Linked DNA regions of Canis lupus familiaris. The protein of the gene in region 4 interacts with the protein of the main gene of each other region in a biochemical or structural test. Links are inferred from orthologs where the notes say so. Each region holds a gene or a part of one and is shown on either strand. Other genes may lie near its edges. The genes, in order: TFE3, COPS5, SKI and SMAD4.

Region 1 (4,988 bases), on a different chromosome or scaffold from region 4:
GAATTTTAACATCAGGTCTATGAGTTCCATTTTGGAATTTTTATTGGTAAAGTGTTGATTTTTTTAAAAAGATTAATTTGGTGGAGTCACCTGGGTGGTGCAGTCAGCTAAACATCAGACTCTTGGTTTGGGCTCAGGTCATGATCTCAGAGTCCTGAGATCAAGGCCCAGGACCAGCTGAGACTCTTTCTCCCTCTCCCTCTGCCCCTCCTCCCTGGTGCGTTCTCTCTCTCTCTCTCTCTCTCTCCTCTCTCCCCCTGAAATAAATAAATAAATCTAAAAAGGGATTAATTTGGGAAAGAATTATCATCTTTTTTAAAAGATTTTATTCATTCATGAGAGACACAGAGAGAGAGAGAGAGAGAGAGAGAGAGAGGCAGAGACACAGACAGAGGGAGATGCAGGCTCCATGCAGGGAGCCCAATGTGGGACTTGATCCTGAGACTCCAGGATCATGCCCTGGGCCGAAGGCAGGCGCTAAACCGCTGACCCACCCAGGGATCCCAAGAATTATCTTCTTTATTGTGTGGATAATGGGGCTGCAAGGGCCTGTGGGGATGTGCATGTTTACCAAGCCAACTTCCTGTGTCAATACAGGACCGTGCAAGACAAATGAGACCTCATTGAAGTTCCCTGAGGTCCAACTGCTGGGCAGGGTTTTGGGATGTTAGAAGGAGGAAGGTAAGGTCGTAGGTCTAGGTTTTCTGTGAGCTGACTACGCACCTGAAGGTATGTGTGGGGGATCCTCTGCTGTGTGCAAGCTAGCTTGCATGTATCTGGCACACAGAGGAGTTCAATAAATATTTGTTGAATCAGTGCACAAATGTGTGAATCAAGTTTTGGAGAGCTTACTGTATGCCAAACCACCTGCTAGCACTTTTCATAAATTATCTCTAATCCTCATAATAACCCTGTCAGACAGGTATTATGAGGCACCCACCACCACCACCACCACCATTTGACAGGCCAGGAAAGCTGAAGCTCTGAGAGGGGCAATCCCTTCCTCAAATCCAAACCGGGTCTTCATGATTCTAGAAATCATTCACGGAAGGTACCAGATATAATTTCCATCCTTCCACTCATTCATCTATCTGTCAAGGATTTATTAAGCACTTACTACGTGAGCAGGACGACCTAGTACAACAAGTGCTCTGGGTGACACAGAGTAGGCGGAGTGCTCCCGGGAAGACCAGCTGGGCGGCTAGTTTGTGGGCGGGATTTTTGGTGCGCACCTCCAGGGAACCTAGCTGCCTAGGCCTGCTTTTGATTTTGGCTGAGACAGGGCTAGATGGAGGCTGCAGCGCAACATAGGGAGCTGATATTATAAACATTGGCCAAGAGGGGGCGCGGTTCTGCTGCTAGAAGAGCGGCCTGGAGACCCTCTGCGCTGACGGGCCATCGGAGCGCAGGCGCAGAGGACTCAAGGAGCGGCTTAAAAATCTTGCGGAGGGATCGTTTGCGAGGAGGGGGCGTGGCTTAATCAAAGCACTTCTCGCTGATTTGCCTCTGGCTCTGGGGGCGTGGCCTAAATGCGTCCTTCTCGGAACGAGGGCCGGCCGAATCTAGTTTTCCCTCCGCGTCGGAGGCGTAGCTTAGGGCGGGCCCTCGAGCCACCCCTCAATGATTGGCCGCCTCACTCAGAGGGGTGGCCCGGCGAGCCGTCCGTCCTCCGTGTGGTCACTTCCTGTGGAGTTTCCCCAGCTCAGGGAGGAGGGAGAAGAGGACGAGGGGGAGGAGGGCGGTCGTCCGGGGTTAGGTTGGGGGGTGTTGGTCTGTTCAGGGCGGGGGATGACTCACGGCCCATCCCATCGCCCCGACGCCGCCCGCCCGCGCAGAGCTCGCTCCATGGCTTAGCGGAGGAGGCGGTGGCGAGCGGGGGGAGGGGGACTCTTATTTTGTTAGGGGGACCGGGCCGAGGCCCGACCGGCCTGGCAGGGCTCGCCCGGGGCCGGGCGTCATGTCTCATGCAGCCGAGCCAGCTCGGGACGGCGTAGAGGCCAGCGCGGAAGGCCCTCGAGCCGTGTTCGTGCTGTTGGAGGAGCGCAGGCCAGCCGACTCGGCCCAGCTGCTCAGGTGCGGGGCTGCCTGGGGCCGGTAGTGCTGACTGGGGTTCTTGGGGGTCTGATCTGGGGGGACAACGGGAGCCCAGGACTGGGATTGGAGGCCCTCGGCCTAGGCTTGGAGGACGTCGGGGCGCCGGTCTTGGGGGGGAACCTAAGGAATCCGGCGGTGGCCTGCTTGGACTGAGGCTTAAAGAAGTCATGGAAGTGCATTAAGGGAGGGCTGGCTCCGATCTGAGGGTCTCTTGACTGGGTTTGTGGGGAAGATTCTGTTGTATCCAGAGCCTAGTCTAGGGTAACTGAACTTGGGGCACTGAGGCTGAATTTAGGGTCCTTGAGTCAGGCATGAGGGAGATGAATTTGAGGTTGTACTATGTAGGTGAGGCACTGATCAGAAGGACTTTTCCCCTCAGTGTCAGAGAAGGGGTCCTAGGAGACAGAAGTGCTGTCTTGGAAGCTGGGTGATTCCCAGTGGCCGGTTGCTTGAGGCTATGTTTGGGGATAACAGGAATCTGGAAGTATTTGGGGCTATCTCAGATATGTTACATGGGACCAGCTTTGTGTGTGTGAGTGAGGAAGAGAAACAACATTCATCAAGACCTGACCAGAATAATCACTTAATCCTTGCCCACCCACCCAGCTGGGTCAGATCCCAGGGATAGTGGAAAAGTCCTCTTCCCACAGCCCCATAGGGGCTTGAATGGGAGACAGTGAGGCAGACAGAAGCAAAAGAGATGGTGCTACTTCTTAGCTCAGAGAAGGCCTCAGACCTTATTTGGGAACCCAGAGGAGGGTCTTGTTCCTGCTGCCACCCATCCTAGCCTCTCAGCCAGCCAGGTTCTACCCCTGCGCGCATGCACACACGTGTACACGCACACCCGTGCGCGCGTGTATGCACGCGTATTCTTTTTCTCCCCCTCCCAGTCTGTCTGTCAGACCCTGGAAATACTCTCCAAGCTGTCTCTGGAGCTGGAATGAGCACCAATTGCACCATCCCTGCCTGGGTGGGTCCTCTGGGTCCTCTTTCCATCCTCACTTCCATCAGCCGACTTGTAAGCCCCAGCCCTCTCTCCACACCCTTTCCACCCCAGAGCCCATCTCTTCTAACTTCTGTGCAATGGGTGCATAAGCATGAGCTGGGGCTTTGCCTGCTTTCTTCCTGGGGTTGTGCTGAGCTCAGCGGCTCCCTGAGCTTCCTCTTCCCTACTTCCTGGGTGGTTTTAGGTCCCCATCTGAGGGTGAGGAAAGGAAGGAAGACACAGATCGTTGGGGAGGGAAGAGAGTTCTTGTCAAGCCAAGTGACCCATAGTCACTCAGGATTCAGTCTTTGACTCAATTCAGGATGCATATCCATCCACGTGTGTGTGAATGCCCCCAGCCTGGAGGGCTGAGCAGGAGCCTTTGCATCTAATGCTTCCCCATCTTCTGATGCCTTCATAACAACCTGGCTCATCACAGTAGTGGAAATAGTTGAAAGGGAGGGGTGTACATGGGTTCTTATTTCATGTCAATGGGTGTTGGTATTAGAGGTGTGTGTGTGTGTGTGTGTGTGTGTTGTTCCATCCAAAAAAACAGCTGAATGCTGGACAGGCTCCTCCCGCCAAGAAAAGAATGCTTGTATAAGCGGATCATCCACCCAAATTCTCCCTCTTTTAAATCCAATTTGCTGGAATAAGGGGAGCCCTTGATATTTCCATTTTGTATTTGGGTGTGTACAGGCATACCCTCAACTCTGGCTGGGGCGAGGTGGGGGGCAGGGTGGGGGGGCTAATTTGCAAAGTCGTGGATCCTTCCGTCAAGTGAATCATCGACCCCAGTTCTTTGTGATGCATTCAGTTTGTGTTACAATAGACTGCTGTGCTGAAGATTGCCCCTACCCTGCTATGTGTAGACAAATGGGGGCTCACATTCAGCTGCCAGGACCCCAGTAGGGGGTGTGGGGGCTGGAAGAACTCTGAATGCAAAGTCAGGACTCCTGCAAAGTGAATTGTCATTCCTGAATTCTTCATTTCTGTTTTCCCTCAAACCTAGGTTGTTAACATGATTATGTGAGAGTGAGGAGTTGGGATCTGGGCACTCTTACTATTTTGAATCCTAAGGGACTTTGGATAACAGAGCAAAAGAGAGTGGGGAGGGAAGAGGAGTATGGGCAGGGAAGATCTGGGAAGTCCTGGTGGTGGTACCCAGCAGGGTCACCTCCTGGGAGGGATGCACTCTGTGTTATCCCCTCCCACCCCTGTGTGTATCTCTCTCCTCCCACTGCCCACTTGTTCTTTCTCTCTTAGAGGGGAGTGCAGTCTCCATATACTTAACTGACCATCACCCTTACCTCCCTTCCACCCTCAGCCTCAACTCTTTGCTTCCGGAATCTGGGATCGTTGCTGACATCGAATTAGAAAGCGTTCTTGATCCTGACAGCTTCTACGAGCTCAAAAGCCAACCACTACCACTACGCTCAAGGTCTGTCTCTTCTGACTCCACTCCCAATTCCTCAGGCCCCTCCATTCCTTCCTGACGGGCAGAGGCCCTCAGTGACAGGCCAACTCTTCTGCCAGCCTACATTTTCCAGATAGTAAAGTGAGGGGCCAGAAAGAACATGTCAAACGAGAAAGCAGGTGGCCAAGCTGGGATTCCATTCTCTTGAACCAGAACTCCCCTGCCTCCCCCACCCAAAACCTGCATACCCATTCATCCACAAATATTGCAGGGAGCCTAGAATGCCCCAGAGAAGTAGGATGGCCTGCTAGTGTGCAGCCCCCAGGTGGGGAGAGCCATACCCATAACCTTTGCTTACCCCTTCCCCCACTCAACAGACTTACCCGCCCCCAACCCTTGAGGAACCCCTGCTGGTCTCTTTTTTTTTTTCCCCAAGCTTGGAAGTCTAAATGTGCTGAGTCATCGGCCTGGGCTCTAAGAGAGGGGAGGGGA
Region 2 (5,010 bases), on a different chromosome or scaffold from region 4:
AAGTCCGGCTCCGCGGCCGGCGTGGCCGCCGGGAGCCCCCGCCTCCGCCCCCGCGCCCGCGCCGCCAACCCAGCCCAGGGACACCCCGCGCCCACCCCGGCCACACCCCGCCAGGCCCGCTTCCCTTCCGCGGCTGCCTAACGCTTACTCAGGAGAGCCGGCTTGCGCTGGGGACGACGCACAGAGCCCCAGGGAAGCTCTCCGCAGGCCGAAGAGGTGGCGACGGCCGCCCCGCACCGGAGCACCGTGACAAGCCGAGCGGCCCCGGCTCCGCCTCTTAAGCCGAGCCCTCCTCCCGCCCTTCCCAACGGCGAATGCGGCCCCGCCCCCACGACGGCCGCCGGGGTACCGTCGCGCAGTCGGAGCGCCCCCTCTCGCCCCGGAGGCCGCACAGCAGGCTCGCCTACACGTAGGCTGGGTGTATCTGGCCCTTTGCCTGGTGCCTCTGGTCTGTAGTGGGAGCTGTTAAACCATGAGAAATTCTTTCCAAGCTAAATCGATTCTAGCCCCTCTAGACCTTCCTAGCCGCATTGCTAGCCGCAGCCGCCGTGGAAAAAAAAAGATAGGGGTGACAGGGAAAAAATGTTTGCACACCTCCCCTGCGTATTTCTCCTCTTCCTGGAGTCTGGTCATCAATGTTTTGTCCTGGGGGTTTTTATTTTTTTTTTTAAAGATTTTATTTATTTATTCATGACAGACACAGAGAGAGAGGCAGAGACACAGGCAGAGGGAGAAGCAGGCTCCATGCAGGGAGCCCGACGTGGGACTCGATCCCGGGACTCCAGGATTACGCCCCAGGCCGAAGGCAGGCGCTAAATCACTGAGCCACCCAGGATTCCCCTTTTTATTACTAATTTCAACATGTTCGGTTCCCCCCAATACTGAACGGCCATGTGCCACACGAGAAAAGAGATCTCTAGCTTTCCAGCAGAGGGGAACTAAGAATCCTTTGTCCTAAGTTACTTTGTAAGAGGGTTTTAAAAACAAATTTTCTTCAAATGGAAGTTAATGTCGAAACTGCAGGCAGGGATGTGGATTCAATAATTCTAATGTTTTTAACTATTTGGCACGTACCGTACTAGGAGTGGAGGACACAACCCAGAGCCGCGTCCTGAACTCTTAAGCTTTTAGTGAAAAGAAAAAAATCCAAATAAATACATTATTACAATGCAACGTAACAGTTCTAGAAGCACCTACAGACGTTTAGAGACATCTAAAAGGAATCATTACTGGAGAGCGGAAAAAGTCAACATTTCATGGTAGAGATCCCTGAGCTGTTTTTGAAGATGAATTTGAGCTCCCAGGCAAAAAACAAGACAACACAACCGCCAGGGGAGAGTATTTCAAGCAAGGCTGACCACATATGCAAAGTTTCAGGATGATTAAAGATGAAGCAAGCAAGCAAATAAGTGAAATAATTAAACACTGCATTAACTGTTGGGGGAAAAAAAAAGTTGCTGAGATTAATTTGGCCTCGGGGATAGGAAGTGGTCTCACACCTTAAACGAATTGTTAAGAACTGGGTACTGATCTTTTCAAAACACTAAGAGCTCATACAGATGTTAATTTTTACAAACACGACAAAAGACCCTGTCGTAGCCTTCCACGAGTCTCCACAGCTTTCTTGAAATGCCGGAGAACTGCTCTCTTAAGAGACCCTTAGAGCCCAACCAAGGGTCCTTTGAACTTTACGCATGTGCAGTGACTCATCTGGAAGTAAACTGGGATGCCAGGTGTATCTTCGTCTCAACCAGCATCCAAAACTGCTTATGTCTCAAGTTTTTCACAGACATCCTTATTTTTGTAGGCTTTCAACAAACATTTTGTTTAAGGTACCCACACACCCACACGAAAACAGGTCTTTTTTTTTCCCCCAACACAGCCTAAAGAGCTAACCCACTTTTAATATGGCCGAGGCCGCGCCTGCGCAGTGCGAACAAAGAGGACCCGTTCGTTTCTGGCATAACGTTGCCGTGCCCTTCTTCCGGTGCGGAAGGCTATACCATTCTCACGCTCCGTCATTGTGTTTGTCCTAATGCGCGCATATAATTTTCTAAGATAATATGTTCTCGTTTCAGCCACAGGAGGATTCCTCTGTCTCTATTATGTAACCGCTGTTTGTATCGTGGCGTCCCGGAAGCGCTCCCGCCATCCCCGAATGGTCTGTACTGACTTCACCTCCGGTTCTGGGTGTCATGGCTGCCTCGAGAGATTAGTACGAGTTTGCACCTGTGGTGGGAAGGGTCCGAAGCCCACACCCAGGAACCTAGCCGAGTAAAGTTGCGTCTTGGTCGTGGAGGCGACAGCTTCTCGGATTCCACGGCGATGGCGGCGTCCGGGAGTGGTATGGCTCAGAAAACCTGGGAATTGGCCAACAACATGCAGGAAGCCCAGAGTATCGATGAAATCTACAAATACGACAAGAAACAGCAGCAAGAAATACTGGCGGCGAAGCCCTGGACTAAGGAGTGAGGAGGTCCCTGGCGAGACGCAGGGGATGGGAGGGGTGGCGGGAGTTTAGGACACCCAGGGGAGTGGGAGTTGCAGAGGGTGGGAAGCTAGTGTTTTCATGGACAGGGAGAAGAATATGCACCCGGGAAATTTGGGTCCACCTTTTTCTCCGCAAGTAGAGTCAAAGCCCTTCTCCTGGGTCTTGCTTCGATTCCCCTTCTTGTCTCTTTAACCCGTTTGCCTCCAGGGGATGTAAGGGTAAAGGACAAACGATTATAATTTCTCATTTCTCAATATCTATATTGTCATATATATGCCACACACTCTGCCTTAAGCCTTGTGTTGATATACACCTTGTTGAGACCTCTAGCTTATCTGAGACTGGAGACTGCACCCATCTTCAAAAGCCAAGTCAGCCCTGGCGTCTCTAACTATAAGCCATCTTTTAGACATTTATAAATCGATTGTTGATTGCTGGTAACTATTTCAGATACAAGGAGGCTCCACCCAGGCTCCCAAAACGTTAGTCCACCAGTTAACATGAACTAGAAATTTTATCAATAGAGTTTAAAGCTGTTTGCCCCTTAGCAAATGCCCTGTGTCTCTGGGAATGATGACAAGTGAAGGACTCTACCCACAGCATTTACCCTTAGTGTTAAGGGAGAGTAAAAAGAGCAGTCTTCAAATGGAGAGATAGAAAGGACAGCAGTGATCAACAACAAAACATTCTTCCATGTTTATCGAGTATTTAATATGGGCTGAGCACTGAGCTTAGGAATTTCTATAATATATTATTTAGTCTACATGACAACCCAGTACTGTATTTTCATTCCTTTTTTGGAAATAAGAAAATAAGCAAATACGAGTAACTTACTTCATGATCAGACTGAGGCAGTGAACTCTTAAGTGAATAATAGACTAAAATTCAAACCTCACAAGTGTCCCTAGTTCGTTGACTGGCCCTAGAAAATTTATGTATCTTCATTTTTTACCTGTAAAAAGAAAATTAGACCCACCCATTGGTGATTTCATAAAGATTAGATGAGATAATGCATTAAAAAGGGTCTACAATGTATGTAATAAGAGCACAATAACTTTTTTTTTCTTTTCCCCAGTGAATAAAGACCCAAGATTAATTCATGTCTTGACTCCCAAGACCAGGTCTCCATATTTTTCAGTTGTGATTGAAATCTGTGGGCAGACATCTTAAAAAGGCTTCTCAGGAAAGAAGAAGGAAAAAAAAGTAGGGGAGGGGGGCTTCTTAAACACATTGACCATATTATTAAAGACAGTTTGCTTAACTCTATAACAGGCTATGCATTTAAGGTTGCTATACTATAGACTACCAAATATTTGAAAACTATCCGTGTGCCTTATTGTCTGATTGCGGCTCTGATTATGTTCATCCCAGCGATCTTGAGCTGCATCAGTGAAACGGAAAATGTAATTTTATTCAAGAGTAGTTTAGTCACATATACATATGACAAACTTTTAAATAGTGATCAAAACAGAACTAAAGATATTAGAGCTACTTTTTTCATTTTGAGGCTGATAACACAGAAAGAAACAACACACTTTTTTGAGAGTACTATAAAAGATGGGTTAAGGCTAATAACAGCTAGCACTTAATATTAAGTTTTGGTATGTGTGAGGTAGTAAGATAAGCATTTATGTAAATTATTTCACTTTATTTCTTCCTAACAACAAATCTGTGACCTATTCCTATTTACAGATGAGGAAACTAAGGCGTGGGCATGCGGTGATTGTCTCTAGGCAACAGCTAGCATGGCAGGGCAAAGACTCAAACTTAATCAGATGGATGTCAGAGCCCACATTTGGATGTCAGGCCAGAAAGTTAGGCCTGAGAATCTTTAGGCACAACCATCCAACTAGACTCAGAATCAGAGATTTGGTGATTCCAAAATTAATGGAGAAAAAGTCTATTGAATTCTATGTAATTCCTTTCTACTTGAACAGCATATTTAAAACAGCATATTTTAAAAAACTATTTCATACTTTTCCCCTAAAGAAATACTTTGCAGGACCCAACATGTTTTTCATTTCCAGCCCCCTGCAAGAACTCTACTTCCCTTTTCTTTCCCACATTTCTACACTCTTTCCCCTTTCCCATCACTGTAAGTTCCTTCAATACTTGTTTTCTTTACAAAAACTATCTTTGAAATTGTGTTTTATATAAGTTAATTGTGCTGTACTTTTGTTTTGTAGTCACCATTATTTTAAGTACTGCAAAATCTCAGCATTGGCTCTACTGAAAATGGTGATGCATGCCAGATCAGGAGGCAACCTGGAAGTGATGGGCTTAATGCTGGGAAAGGTGGACGGTGAAACCATGATCATTATGGACAGTTTTGCTTTGCCTGTAGAGGGCACTGAAACCCGAGTAAATGCTCAGGCTGCTGCATATGAGTACATGGCTGCGTATATCGAAAACGCCAAACAGGTAAAAATGTTGCTTAAAGTTCAGTAATTCTAAGAGTCTCATGGAGACTCTTGAGTTTCTAAACTTAAACTATCCTCGTTACATAAGGTTTATATTTT
Region 3 (4,913 bases), on a different chromosome or scaffold from region 4:
GCTGTGTAGCTCAGGCACCAAGGCCCTGCCCTGAGCTGCAAGAAGTCCTGCAGTGGGACACCGTGTGCGGGGACCCAGGTGCAGGATCTGTGTGTGGGGACCCAGGTGCAGGGTGGTGGGATTCGGGGACCAGGGTGCAGGATCCGTGTGCGGGGACCCGGGTGCCGGATCTGGGAGCAGGGTCGTGGGGTGGAGGCCGTGTGGGGCCTGCACGTGCGGGGGAGCCCTGGGACACGGTGCATCGTGTCTGCTTGCGCGGGGTGCTCCCGGGAGGGTCAGTCCTAACGCGTGGGAACCCACTGGCGTCCTCGTCCTTCCAGGAGGCCCGGGTCGCGCGCTATGTGGGGTCCCCGTCCTGCCGGATCCGCGAGGTGTGCGGTGGAGGCCGCGCAGGCCGCCGTCCTGCCCGCCCCTCCGCGGGTCTGCGGTTGTGGCGGGGGCCGCGTGTGGGTTTCTGGGCCCGGCAGCGGTGACGGCGGCGACGGCGGCGGCGGCAGCACGGGCGCCTTCCCAGCCGCGCAGGAAGCGGCCTCGGCCGGAAGGGGGGGCCCCGGGCGCCGCCACTGCCCCCGCCGAGCGCCCTTCCGGCGGGCGGGGCCGAGCAGCGCCGAGCGGGGCCGAGCGGCGCCGAGCGGGGCCGAGCGGGGCCGAGCGGGGCCGAGCGGCGCCGAGCGGGGCCGAGCGGGGCCGAGTCCCGGGCGGGCGGGGCCGAGCGGAGCCGAATCGCGGCCGAGCGGAGCCGAGTTCCTGGCGGGCCGGCCCGAAGGCGGCCGAGTCGGCCCGAGCCGCGGGCGGGGCGGCGGCGGGGGAGGGGGAAGCGCGCGTTCTTGGAAGAGCCAGGCCGGGAGGCGGTCGCATTCCTGGCCGGCGCTCGGCTGAGGCGGACGCGCGGCTCCAGACGGCGCGAGGGGCGGGGCGGCGGCGCGGGGCGGGGCGGGGCGGCGCGGGGCGGGGCGGCGGCGTGAGCTCAGCGCTCCGCGCTCAGTCCGAGCCGGAGCGAGCCGCCGGGAGGATGTGCGCCGAGCCCCGCGCCTCCGCCGCCGCCGCCGCCGCCGCCGCCGCCGCCGCTGCCGCCGCCGCCGCGCTCTGAGGGCCGCCGCCACAGGCGCTCCCGCCGCCCCGGAAGCCGCGCGCAGGCGGGCGGGCGGGCCGCGGAGCCGGGCGCCGGCGGCGGGGTGGGCGCGGGCCGGGCCGGGGCGGCCGGCGGCGGGCGCGACGCGGCCGGCCAGCGCCGCCGGGACGAGCCGGGCGGGCGCCGCGCGGTGGGAGGAGCGGGGCGGCGGCGGCGCGCCGCGCGAGGACGGCCCGGCGGGCCCCGCGCCCGCGCCCCCGCTCCTCCCGGGCCCCTCGGCCTCGGCCGCCGCGGCGATTCGCGCCTCGCGGCGCCGGCACCTGCCCGCGCGCCCCCCGCGAGCCCCGGGCCCGCGAGCGTTGGCGTTGGCGTTGGCGGCGCGCGCAGGGGCATGCCCCGCGCCTAGGGCCCGGGGGGCGCGCGGGGGGCGCGCGGGGGGCCCGGGCGGCGGCGGCGGCGGCGGGCGCGGCGCGGGGCGCGTGGATGTGGCGCCGGGCCCGGGCGCCGGCGGGCTCCAGCGGCGGGACCCCTTCGCCCCGCCCGCCTACCCCTTCGCGCCCCCGGGCGAGGCCGAGGCCTCGGCCGTGATCGGCCGGGAGCCGGCGGCGGCGGCGGCGGCGGCGGCGGGGGGGGGCCGGGGCCGGGGCCGGGGGCGCCGCCGGGGCTCGCGGGGCGGCGGCGGGGGCCGCGGGGGCCCCGGCGCGCGGGAGCGGGAGCGGCCCGGGGAGCCGGAGCGCACCATGGAGGCGGCGGCGGGCGGCCGCGGCGGCTTCCAGCCGCACCCGGGGCTGCAGAAGACGCTGGAGCAGTTCCACCTGAGCTCTATGAGCTCGCTGGGCGGCCCGGCCGCCTTCTCGGCGCGCTGGGCGCAGGAGGCCTACAAGAAGGAGAGCGCCAAGGAGGCCAGCGCGGCTGCCGTTCCGGCGCCGGTCCCCGCGGCCGCCGAGCCGCCGCCCGTGCTGCACCTGCCAGCCATCCAGCCGCCGCCGCCCGTGCTCCCCGGGCCCTTCTTCATGCCGTCCGACCGCTCCACTGAGCGCTGCGAGACCGTGCTGGAGGGCGAGACCATCTCGTGCTTCGTGGTGGGCGGCGAGAAGCGCCTGTGCCTGCCGCAGATCCTCAACTCGGTGCTGCGCGACTTCTCGCTGCAGCAGATCAACTCGGTGTGCGACGAGCTGCACATCTATTGCTCGCGCTGCACGGCGGACCAGTTGGAGATCCTCAAAGTCATGGGCATCCTGCCCTTCTCGGCGCCCTCGTGCGGGCTCATCACCAAGACGGACGCCGAGCGCCTGTGCAACGCGCTGCTATACGGCGGCGCCTACCCGCCGCCCTGCAAGAAGGAGCTGGCCGCCAGTCTGGCGCTGGGCCTGGAGCTCAGCGAGCGCAGCGTGCGTGTGTACCACGAGTGCTTCGGCAAGTGCAAGGGGCTGCTGGTGCCCGAGCTCTACAGCAGCCCGAGTGCCGCATGCATCCAGTGCCTCGACTGCCGCCTCATGTACCCCCCGCACAAGTTCGTCGTGCACTCGCACAAGGCGCTGGAGAACCGGACCTGCCACTGGGGATTCGACTCGGCCAACTGGCGGGCGTACATCCTGCTGAGCCAGGACTACACGGGCAAGGAGGAGCAGGCACGCCTTGGCCGCTGCCTGGACGACGTGAAGGAGAAGTTTGACTATGGCAACAAGTACAAGCGGCGGGTGCCCCGGGTGAGTGACCCTGCTGGCTGGGGCCATGGGAGGACGCTGGGTGCTCTGGGCCCCAGGGCCTGGAAGCTGGGAGGGCTGGGTCCTGGGGAAAGGCTGGGGGGCCCTCCTGGGCCAGGGGCTCTGTGTGTGCAGCTTGGGGCTTGTCTTGGGGTTTGGATTTGATTTAAGGAAGTTCAGGGTTGTGTTGGGTCCCTCCCTAGTCGTGGCTGTGTAGGAAGGTCCTTTTGCTCGACCCCTGTGATGAGCCAGCTTGCTTGGGACAGGGGCCCTAGGGGTTCGGCCTGGTGGCTGGAGAAGCATTCCCAAGGCCCACAGCCATTGCCCTGATGGGCTTAGGAATGGCGGGAGGCTCGGCTCCAATACTCAGACACTCTTGCCCCCAGAGAACTGAGAAGTGAGATCCGGGCGGGCCCAGGCTGCAGCCTCAGGCCTAGGCCTTCCTCGGGCCACTGTGAGGAGGGGTGCAGACCCGGTGGGCCCCTAGGCTCGCACACAGAAGGGTGCCTGCCAGTGGTCCTCAGCAGACAGAACTGGGCCTGGCAGGGCCGGTTTGTGCCTTGAAGTCTTGGGAGACAGGCTCAGAAATGCAGCCAGGTGTCCAGGCCACAGTGGCAGGGGGCCGAGACTCGGTGACTCCAGTTCTGTGCGTTTCCCTGGGCCTGCCAGGGTGTGAATCCCAGAGTCCCCCATGTGGGGGCAAGGGCTGATTGGCCCTGGGCTTGGGGCCTGGTCAGCGGGCACCTGGGCCCTGAGTAGGAGTAGCTCGTGGCCTGCGATTTGTTTTGGACACGCCCGTTTCCTTGTCTCCCTCTCTCTCAAATGCTGCAGGGCGGGGGAGGGCCACTGGCCGAGGCTCTGTTGTTTGCCAGGCGGAGGATGTGATCCGTGTGATCTGGCTGGGCAGCTCCTGGGCGACTGGACGGTGAAACCTCTCATTGGGGTCTTCACCAACTTCTCGGTGTCTTCCCCTCCCCAAGTATTTGTAACTTTTCTTTTAAATATCCAGGCTTATTAAATTGCATACACAGAATGCTGCATTGGCTCAGCTATTCTGAGGAGGCCTAATTAATTCAACTACTGCATCAAACTTTTTTTTTTTTTCTAAATCTGTGAATAGATGCTCCCGCCCGGTTTTCTCTGGGCGCCCCTCCAGCGGAGTGTCAGAGTCTCGGTGAGCAGAGGAGGGGCTGGGGATGGAGGGGCTGGGTGCCTGTGCTCAGAGGGGCTGTCGTGTGCGCGCGTGCACGTGTGTTCCATGGCATTTCTGCCCTCAGCTTTGCCGCTGCCCAGGTGGCAGCTGTCTGCAGACTGGGGCAGGGCTTGGGTGGGAGGGAGTGTCTGAGTAGGGGAGGGTATTGGCAGGAAAGGCCCAAGCCTTTGATTTTGGATGAGTTGGTGATGGGTGGCGTGATGGGCACCCGACGTGAATGGGGACTTTTCTGTTCGGGGTGCCTCTACCTACCACAGCCACTGTGGCTTGTGGGAGTCTTGTGTGCAGGATTGTGGTAGGCACAGGCTGCAGTTCCTGGCCCAGGCCATGGCAGGCCATTTGCCTCCAGAGGGGGTGGGGTGGGGGGCCTTGTCTGGCAGGGTGTGTTCGTATGGGTGTCCCAGTCAGGGGTGTGAGGGGCAGTGGTGGAGTCTCCTGGGCTCGCTGGGACTGCTTCTTTGTCACAGCTGTAGAGTGGGGCCGTGGTTCTGGGCGCGGCCCCCCCCCCACCCCCCTGCCCGCCCGCCCCTCTTAGGGACGGCCCAGCCTGAGCTCTCAGGCCCAAACAGCGTCTGGGGAGAAGGCAGGATTGTTTGCCCACACTCCGTGAAGCCGAAGCCAGAGCCTGTTTCTGCTCTGGCCTTTTCAGCAGATGATTAGGGCCGCCCTTTCTCTGTCAGTGCGCTCTCCCTGATGCTGTCCTAAATCTCATTTACCGATTAAACAAATTTTCCCAGTGATGAGGAAGAGCTGCTTATCGTAAGTGGGTGGGGTCTGCAGGCCTAGTGTCAGCCAGCCCTGTCCTCGCCGTGGTGACCTGGACTGGCTGTCAGGCCCCATGCTTCCCTGAGGTCTCGAGTGCTCTCCTGCTGGCTCTGCCACCTCGTGTCCTGTGTACGGGGCTCCGCCTGCTGCCTTGGCT
Region 4 (4,928 bases):
TGAGGTAGAAGTAGGAACTTAGGAGCCACCTGCTGCTCTGGTACCCGACCACCCAGTTAAACCTTCCTTCAGTTTTGCTGATAGCAAAGAACTGGGAACCACCTGACTCACAAAGAATTTATAACCCGTTCATTCAGGTCACTCGCTCTTTCATCAGACGCCAGTTTTTGAATTGTCCCTCTGAATTGTCCTGGGGGTTTTACATCTGGAGTCGGGGTGCCCGCGCGACTGGATTTCAGCTAAGGTCACCATCTCAGGGTTGTGGGGTCGAGCCCCGCATCGGGTCCCACACTCAACACGTCGTCCGCTTGGGCTTCTCTCTCTCTCTCTCCCTCTGCTTCCCCTCCCATCCCCACATTCCCTCTTACTCTAAAATAAAAAAGTAAATAAATACATCTTGAGTTGATGCACCTGCATGAGAATGTCACTTTATTCCGACAGATGGGAGAATGACAGTTTTGGAAGAGGATGCTCTGTCCTCAGGTGACTTCTCAAGCTGAGCCATTGTGTTAAGTAGTGCACTAGCAACGGGAGCTCTCTAAGTGAATTCCCTTAAAACTAGTCTTGGAAAGTCTTCCTGGACCCAGGAGCAGGGAACACGGGAGACGACGGCGGCGGGACACGCAGGAGTGCGGGTTGCCGTGGTGCGGGGGGGGGGGGCAGCTCGGGAACGGGCGGGATGCCGAGGGGATAGCAGGGGGGGACACCGTGGGGACAGCCAGGCAGGACAGCTTGGGAACGGGCGGGGACAGCGGGGCGAGGACAGCAGGGAGGGGACGGGGACGGGGGCGGGGACGGGGGTGGAGAGCAGGGACGGGGGGGCGGGGCGGGGGCGGGGCGGGGGCGGGGCCGGGACGCCGTGGGGACAGCGGGCGGGGCCGGCGCGGGGACGGGCGTACGGAGGGTCTGAGCGCTTCCTCGCCACTAGCTTGCGTCGGGCTCCCCACCCCCGGCAGGGGAAGTTTTTTCTAGGTGGTAAAAAATAAAACAAAAATTCGAAAGTATGCAACTCGTACGTGTTTTCTGAAACTTTTAAAAATAAAAGAAATGCGCGCATCTTGGAAAAGTTGAGATAAGTAGGTATGCACTGCGAAGCCGAGTTTCGCCCCACAGGTGGCCTCAACAGGTGCGCGGCAGGTCCTTGAGCGCCGCCCCCATCGCAGTGTCCCCCGAGCCCCGTCCACTGGCCTCCGTGACCCGCGGCCACACTCCCGCACGGGCTGCCGGTCCGCGCGCCGCGGAGCCGGGAGGGGGCCCGGCAGGTGTCCGCCCTCGGGGCCGCCCGCCGCCGGGCCGCGCATCGCGCCTGCGCCCCGCGCCTGCGCACAACCCCCCCGCCGGCGCTCCGCGGGGGGCGGGGCCGCGGGAGAGGGAGCTGCGGGGGCACGGGCCGAGGCCTGCAGTTACCCGGATGTGGTCGCCGTGCGCGCATGCTCCGTGGCCTCCCGACAAGTTGGCAGCAACAACACGGCCCTGGTCGTCGTCGCCGCTGCGCTAGCGGAGCGGCTCGGGTGGCGGGGCCCGCGTTGGCGCCCGCGCGCCGTCCTCGGGAGGCCTTGCCCGCCGGTCCTTCAGCGGCGCGGCCGCCCGGCGGCGGGAGCGGCTAGGGGAGCCGGGCGCCCCGCGACCGAGGGCCCCCCCCGCGGGGCGGCCCGGGAGCTCGAGGCGGCCGGCGGGCGGCGGCGGCGGCGGCGGCGAGGAGGGGCGGGGGCGCGGGGGGAGCGGTGGCCCGCGGACGGGCGGCGGCGGCGGCGGCGGCGGCGGCGGCGGCGGCGGCGGCGGCGGCGGCGGCGGCGGCGGCGGCGGCGGCGGCGGCGGCGGAGCCCAGGTAACGGCCCCGTGCCCTCCCCTTCCCCGGCCGGGCCCGCGCCCCCCCACCCCCGGGCTTCCCCGCCCCGGGGCGGGCTCGGGCGGCCGGTGCGTGCGTGTGCGCGTGCGCGTGCGTGTGCGCGGGGGGCGGGGCGGGGGCCGGGGGGCGGGGGGCCTCGCGCCTCGCGTCCCGGGCCCAGCGCCCCCGCGCCTCCGCGCCCCCGCGCCCGCCGCGGCTCCCCTGCCGTCGCCGTCGGTCTTTGTTGCTCCGAGGACTTGCGCCCGCCGCCCCCGCCGAGCGCGCCCGAAGTTTCCCGTCTCGGGGACACGTCGGTGCCGCCTTTGTCCTCCACTTTCCCTTCCTGCCGGGGCCGCTCCGGCGCTCGCCTCGGCCTGCGCTGGGCGCTCTCGCGGCTCGGGAGCGGGCGGGCGGCGGGGGGGAGCCCTCCCGCTGACCTGCGCGCGCCCCTCCCCCGCACCCCTCCATCCCTCCCCCCTCTCCTGATGAGCACCCGGCCGCCCCCCCAGCCTCCATCCCTCCACCTCTCCACCCCGCCCCTCCACTCCACCTCTCACCCCCCCATCCCTCCACCCCCCACCCTTCCACCCCTCCACCCCTCAATCCTTCCCCTAATCAGCTCCCGGCCGCCCCCCACCCCACCCCACCCCACCCCACCCCACCCCACTCCCAATGAAAACCCAAGGACCCAGTTTCTCCCGCTGCTGGGACTGCGAGCGCTGGGCGCGAGGCTCTAGGACGGAGGGCGGTGGCTCCATCACTTGCCCCCAAAACTGAGGTTATCATTTCTCAGGGAAGATTTTTCAAAGAAATGGGCGTGTTGGGTTAACTTGAAAGGTGGCTTTGGGGGCCTGGAGAGGTGTCCGACGGCTCTGCTGGTGGTGATGCGCAGCACCTCCCCCCCCCCCCCCCAAAGCCCTGGTGAAAGATTCTTTTTCACGAACACATTTTATTTCCGATGAATTCACTTTGGACCCAGTTCCTTGGTGCCTTTTGCGCTGTACTCTGAGGTGGGGCTGAGGGCCCTTCGGGGTCGTGGACGCGGCGCAGCGGGCTCCTGGGCATCTCCTGACCGCGAGCCAGGGTGCGGAGGAGCTGGGGTGCAGAGGCTCGGTAGGGGCCCCGACCTGCCGCAGGGAACACCCCTTTGAGTCCCTGCAGGGAGCACCCCCTTGGGTCCCTGCAGGGAGTGTCCTCTTGAGTCTCCACAGGGAGCACCCTAGTCTTCGCAGGGAGCACCCCCTTGAGTCCCCGCGAGGAGCACCTCCTTGAGTGTCCTCTTGAGTCCCCGTGGGGAGCGCCCCCTTGAGTCCCCGCAGGGAGCACCCCCTTGAGTCCCTGCAGGGAGTGTCCTCTTGAGTCTCCGTGGGGAGCACCCCCTTGAGTCCCCGCAAGGAGCACTCTAGTCTTTGCAGGGAGCACCCTAGTCTTCGCAGGGAGCACTCTAGTCTTCTCAGGGAGCGCCCCTTGAGTCTCAGCAGCAGTCTCTGTGGATCTTAAAAAAGTAGGTTGAGTAGTTTTTGTTGGAACAGACCGTGGAGTCTTAAGAGGAAATAAGGAAATCCACGCTTTGAAAAAGTAACGGGATTTAGGACGCAGCTGGGTGGGTGGGCCGCGGTGCCCGCGCCTGCCTTCCTGCACCTGCGCCGTGTTGCCCGCGAGCCTCTGAGCCTCCGAGGCGTGAGGACTTTTCCGTTAAGGACTTCTTATTTTTTCTTCTGAAAAGTTCTGATATGCCGAGTATGTGACATTTCAAGTTGTAAATGATGTGATTGACCTCTTAAAATATGACGTCCTGCTGCTGTTTCATGAGCTGTGACTTTGTTTCCCTAAACGGGTTTGTTACCAGAACCAACAGGACTCGCAGGGTTTTGGGGTCTAAAGGGGGTGATGAATTGTGTAGGTTTAAGTTGTCGGAATTAAACCTAAGAGCCTTTCTAGAGAAAATGGATAGAACCTTTCGTGGGTCTGTTAATAGAAGTGGCTTTTTCTTTGCTTTCCAGGTTTTTGGGTGAGGTTGCTTGAAGAGGCACTGCATCTTCTTAATTCTTTGATTTTCCGAGTAGGAGGGCCTGAGTGGAAGCTTCTCTGTTTAGCTGAGTGCCCGCCTTGTAAATCTCGAGCTTAGAAAAGAATTGCACGTCAGTTTGAGATTTGATGGAAATTTGGGCTGAGAAGGTGAATTTGAAATTTTTACATGGATCATTGGCCTTTTCTAATGGCTTTGCTGCTTGAAGCAATGCTGCTTACACTACGAAGCAGCAAATCTTCTAAAAACCTATGTATGTTTTATTCTGAGGCTACATTTTGGTTGAGCTGTTTATTTGTGTCTGAATTGTTTTTCTGCATTCCCCTTTAGACACCCCCCCCCCCCCATATTAAAGAGAAAAAAGCATTAAACTAATTTATGCTGCCCAGTCACACTCCAGCCCTCTGGCTTGGAAGCTGTTTTTTTCTGATTGAGCTGGTGTTATAACGTCATTAGACACTATCCTAATTGAGCTGTGAATTGCTGTGGCCTCTACTAGGGCTCTTAACCCTGCAGGATCTGTCCCGTTCATTTAAAACGCATTTTTAGTCCTGTCTAAAATTTTGCCTATTTTGTTGAGTACCTTTTTTTATGTTTAAAGTTATTTCAGTTCTATATTGTTCCCCTCTAGCTCATGCCTAACTTTTTCCCATCTTCCATCCAGTGATTTTGATAGTAAACAAGGCTTTAAACATCTTATGTTGGCCGTTTCGGTGCTCATTGTACATGTTTTGATTTCCTTTTTTTCTAGAAGATTGTGTGGTTAGGCAGAAATTTTTGTTTTGCTTAAGCGATGATGAAATGTTGACTCTGAATTGATGCTTAATCATGTGTAAAACTAACAACTAAAACAGTTCCGTTGATTTCATTATTTTCTACACTAAATGAAAGTTAAAGGACTTGGATCAGCGTAACACAGAATATAATATAACTGTTAAACTACCAAATTTTGGGCTTTTTACTCAACAGTTGATGAAGATTTGGTTGTTTTAAAAAGAAATTCAAACAGTTGATAAATATGTGTAGATATTTGAGTAACTTTCAGTATGATACTGCTTGCATCATAATATG

Evidence for each region.
Region 1: the proteins of SMAD4 (region 4) and TFE3 form a complex in vitro, tested with the Homo sapiens proteins (2 studies listed by BioGRID). The link is inferred for Canis lupus familiaris from reciprocal best matches to the Homo sapiens genes SMAD4 and TFE3.
Region 2: the proteins of SMAD4 (region 4) and COPS5 form a complex in vitro, tested with the Homo sapiens proteins (2 studies listed by BioGRID). The link is inferred for Canis lupus familiaris from reciprocal best matches to the Homo sapiens genes SMAD4 and COPS5.
Region 3: the proteins of SMAD4 (region 4) and SKI form a complex in vitro, tested with the Homo sapiens proteins (3 studies listed by BioGRID and IntAct, with this or other methods). The link is inferred for Canis lupus familiaris from reciprocal best matches to the Homo sapiens genes SMAD4 and SKI.

The regions. Positions count from the first base shown.
Region 1 is NC_049260.1:42,394,392-42,399,379, reverse strand, and holds the start of TFE3 (transcription factor E3), read left to right. Parts: upstream 1-1,738; 5' UTR 1,739-1,957; coding exon 1,958-2,073; intron 2,074-4,406; coding exon 4,407-4,520; intron 4,521-4,988. UniProt on the Homo sapiens protein: Transcription factor that acts as a master regulator of lysosomal biogenesis and immune response.
Region 2 is NC_049250.1:17,045,398-17,050,407, reverse strand, and holds the start of COPS5 (COP9 signalosome complex subunit 5), read left to right. Parts: upstream 1-1,968; 5' UTR 1,969-1,987; intron 1,988-1,993; exon of another isoform or gene 1,994-2,078; 5' UTR 2,079-2,325; coding exon 2,326-2,468; exon of another isoform or gene 2,469-2,476; intron 2,477-4,677; coding exon 4,678-4,912; intron 4,913-5,010. UniProt on the Homo sapiens protein: Probable protease subunit of the COP9 signalosome complex (CSN), a complex involved in various cellular and developmental processes.
Region 3 is NC_049226.1:57,619,357-57,624,269, forward strand, and holds the start of SKI (ski oncogene), read left to right. Parts: upstream 1-1,781; 5' UTR 1,782-1,812; coding exon 1,813-2,781; intron 2,782-3,898; coding exon 3,899-3,952; intron 3,953-4,913. UniProt on the Homo sapiens protein: May play a role in terminal differentiation of skeletal muscle cells but not in the determination of cells to the myogenic lineage. Functions as a repressor of TGF-beta signaling.
Region 4 is NC_049222.1:24,037,996-24,042,923, reverse strand, and holds the start of SMAD4 (mothers against decapentaplegic homolog 4), read left to right. Parts: upstream 1-1,784; 5' UTR 1,785-1,828; intron 1,829-3,841; exon of another isoform or gene 3,842-4,006; intron 4,007-4,928. Other genes in the region: ELAC1 (zinc phosphodiesterase ELAC protein 1), read left to right, coding at 138-386. UniProt on the Homo sapiens protein: In muscle physiology, plays a central role in the balance between atrophy and hypertrophy. When recruited by MSTN, promotes atrophy response via phosphorylated SMAD2/4.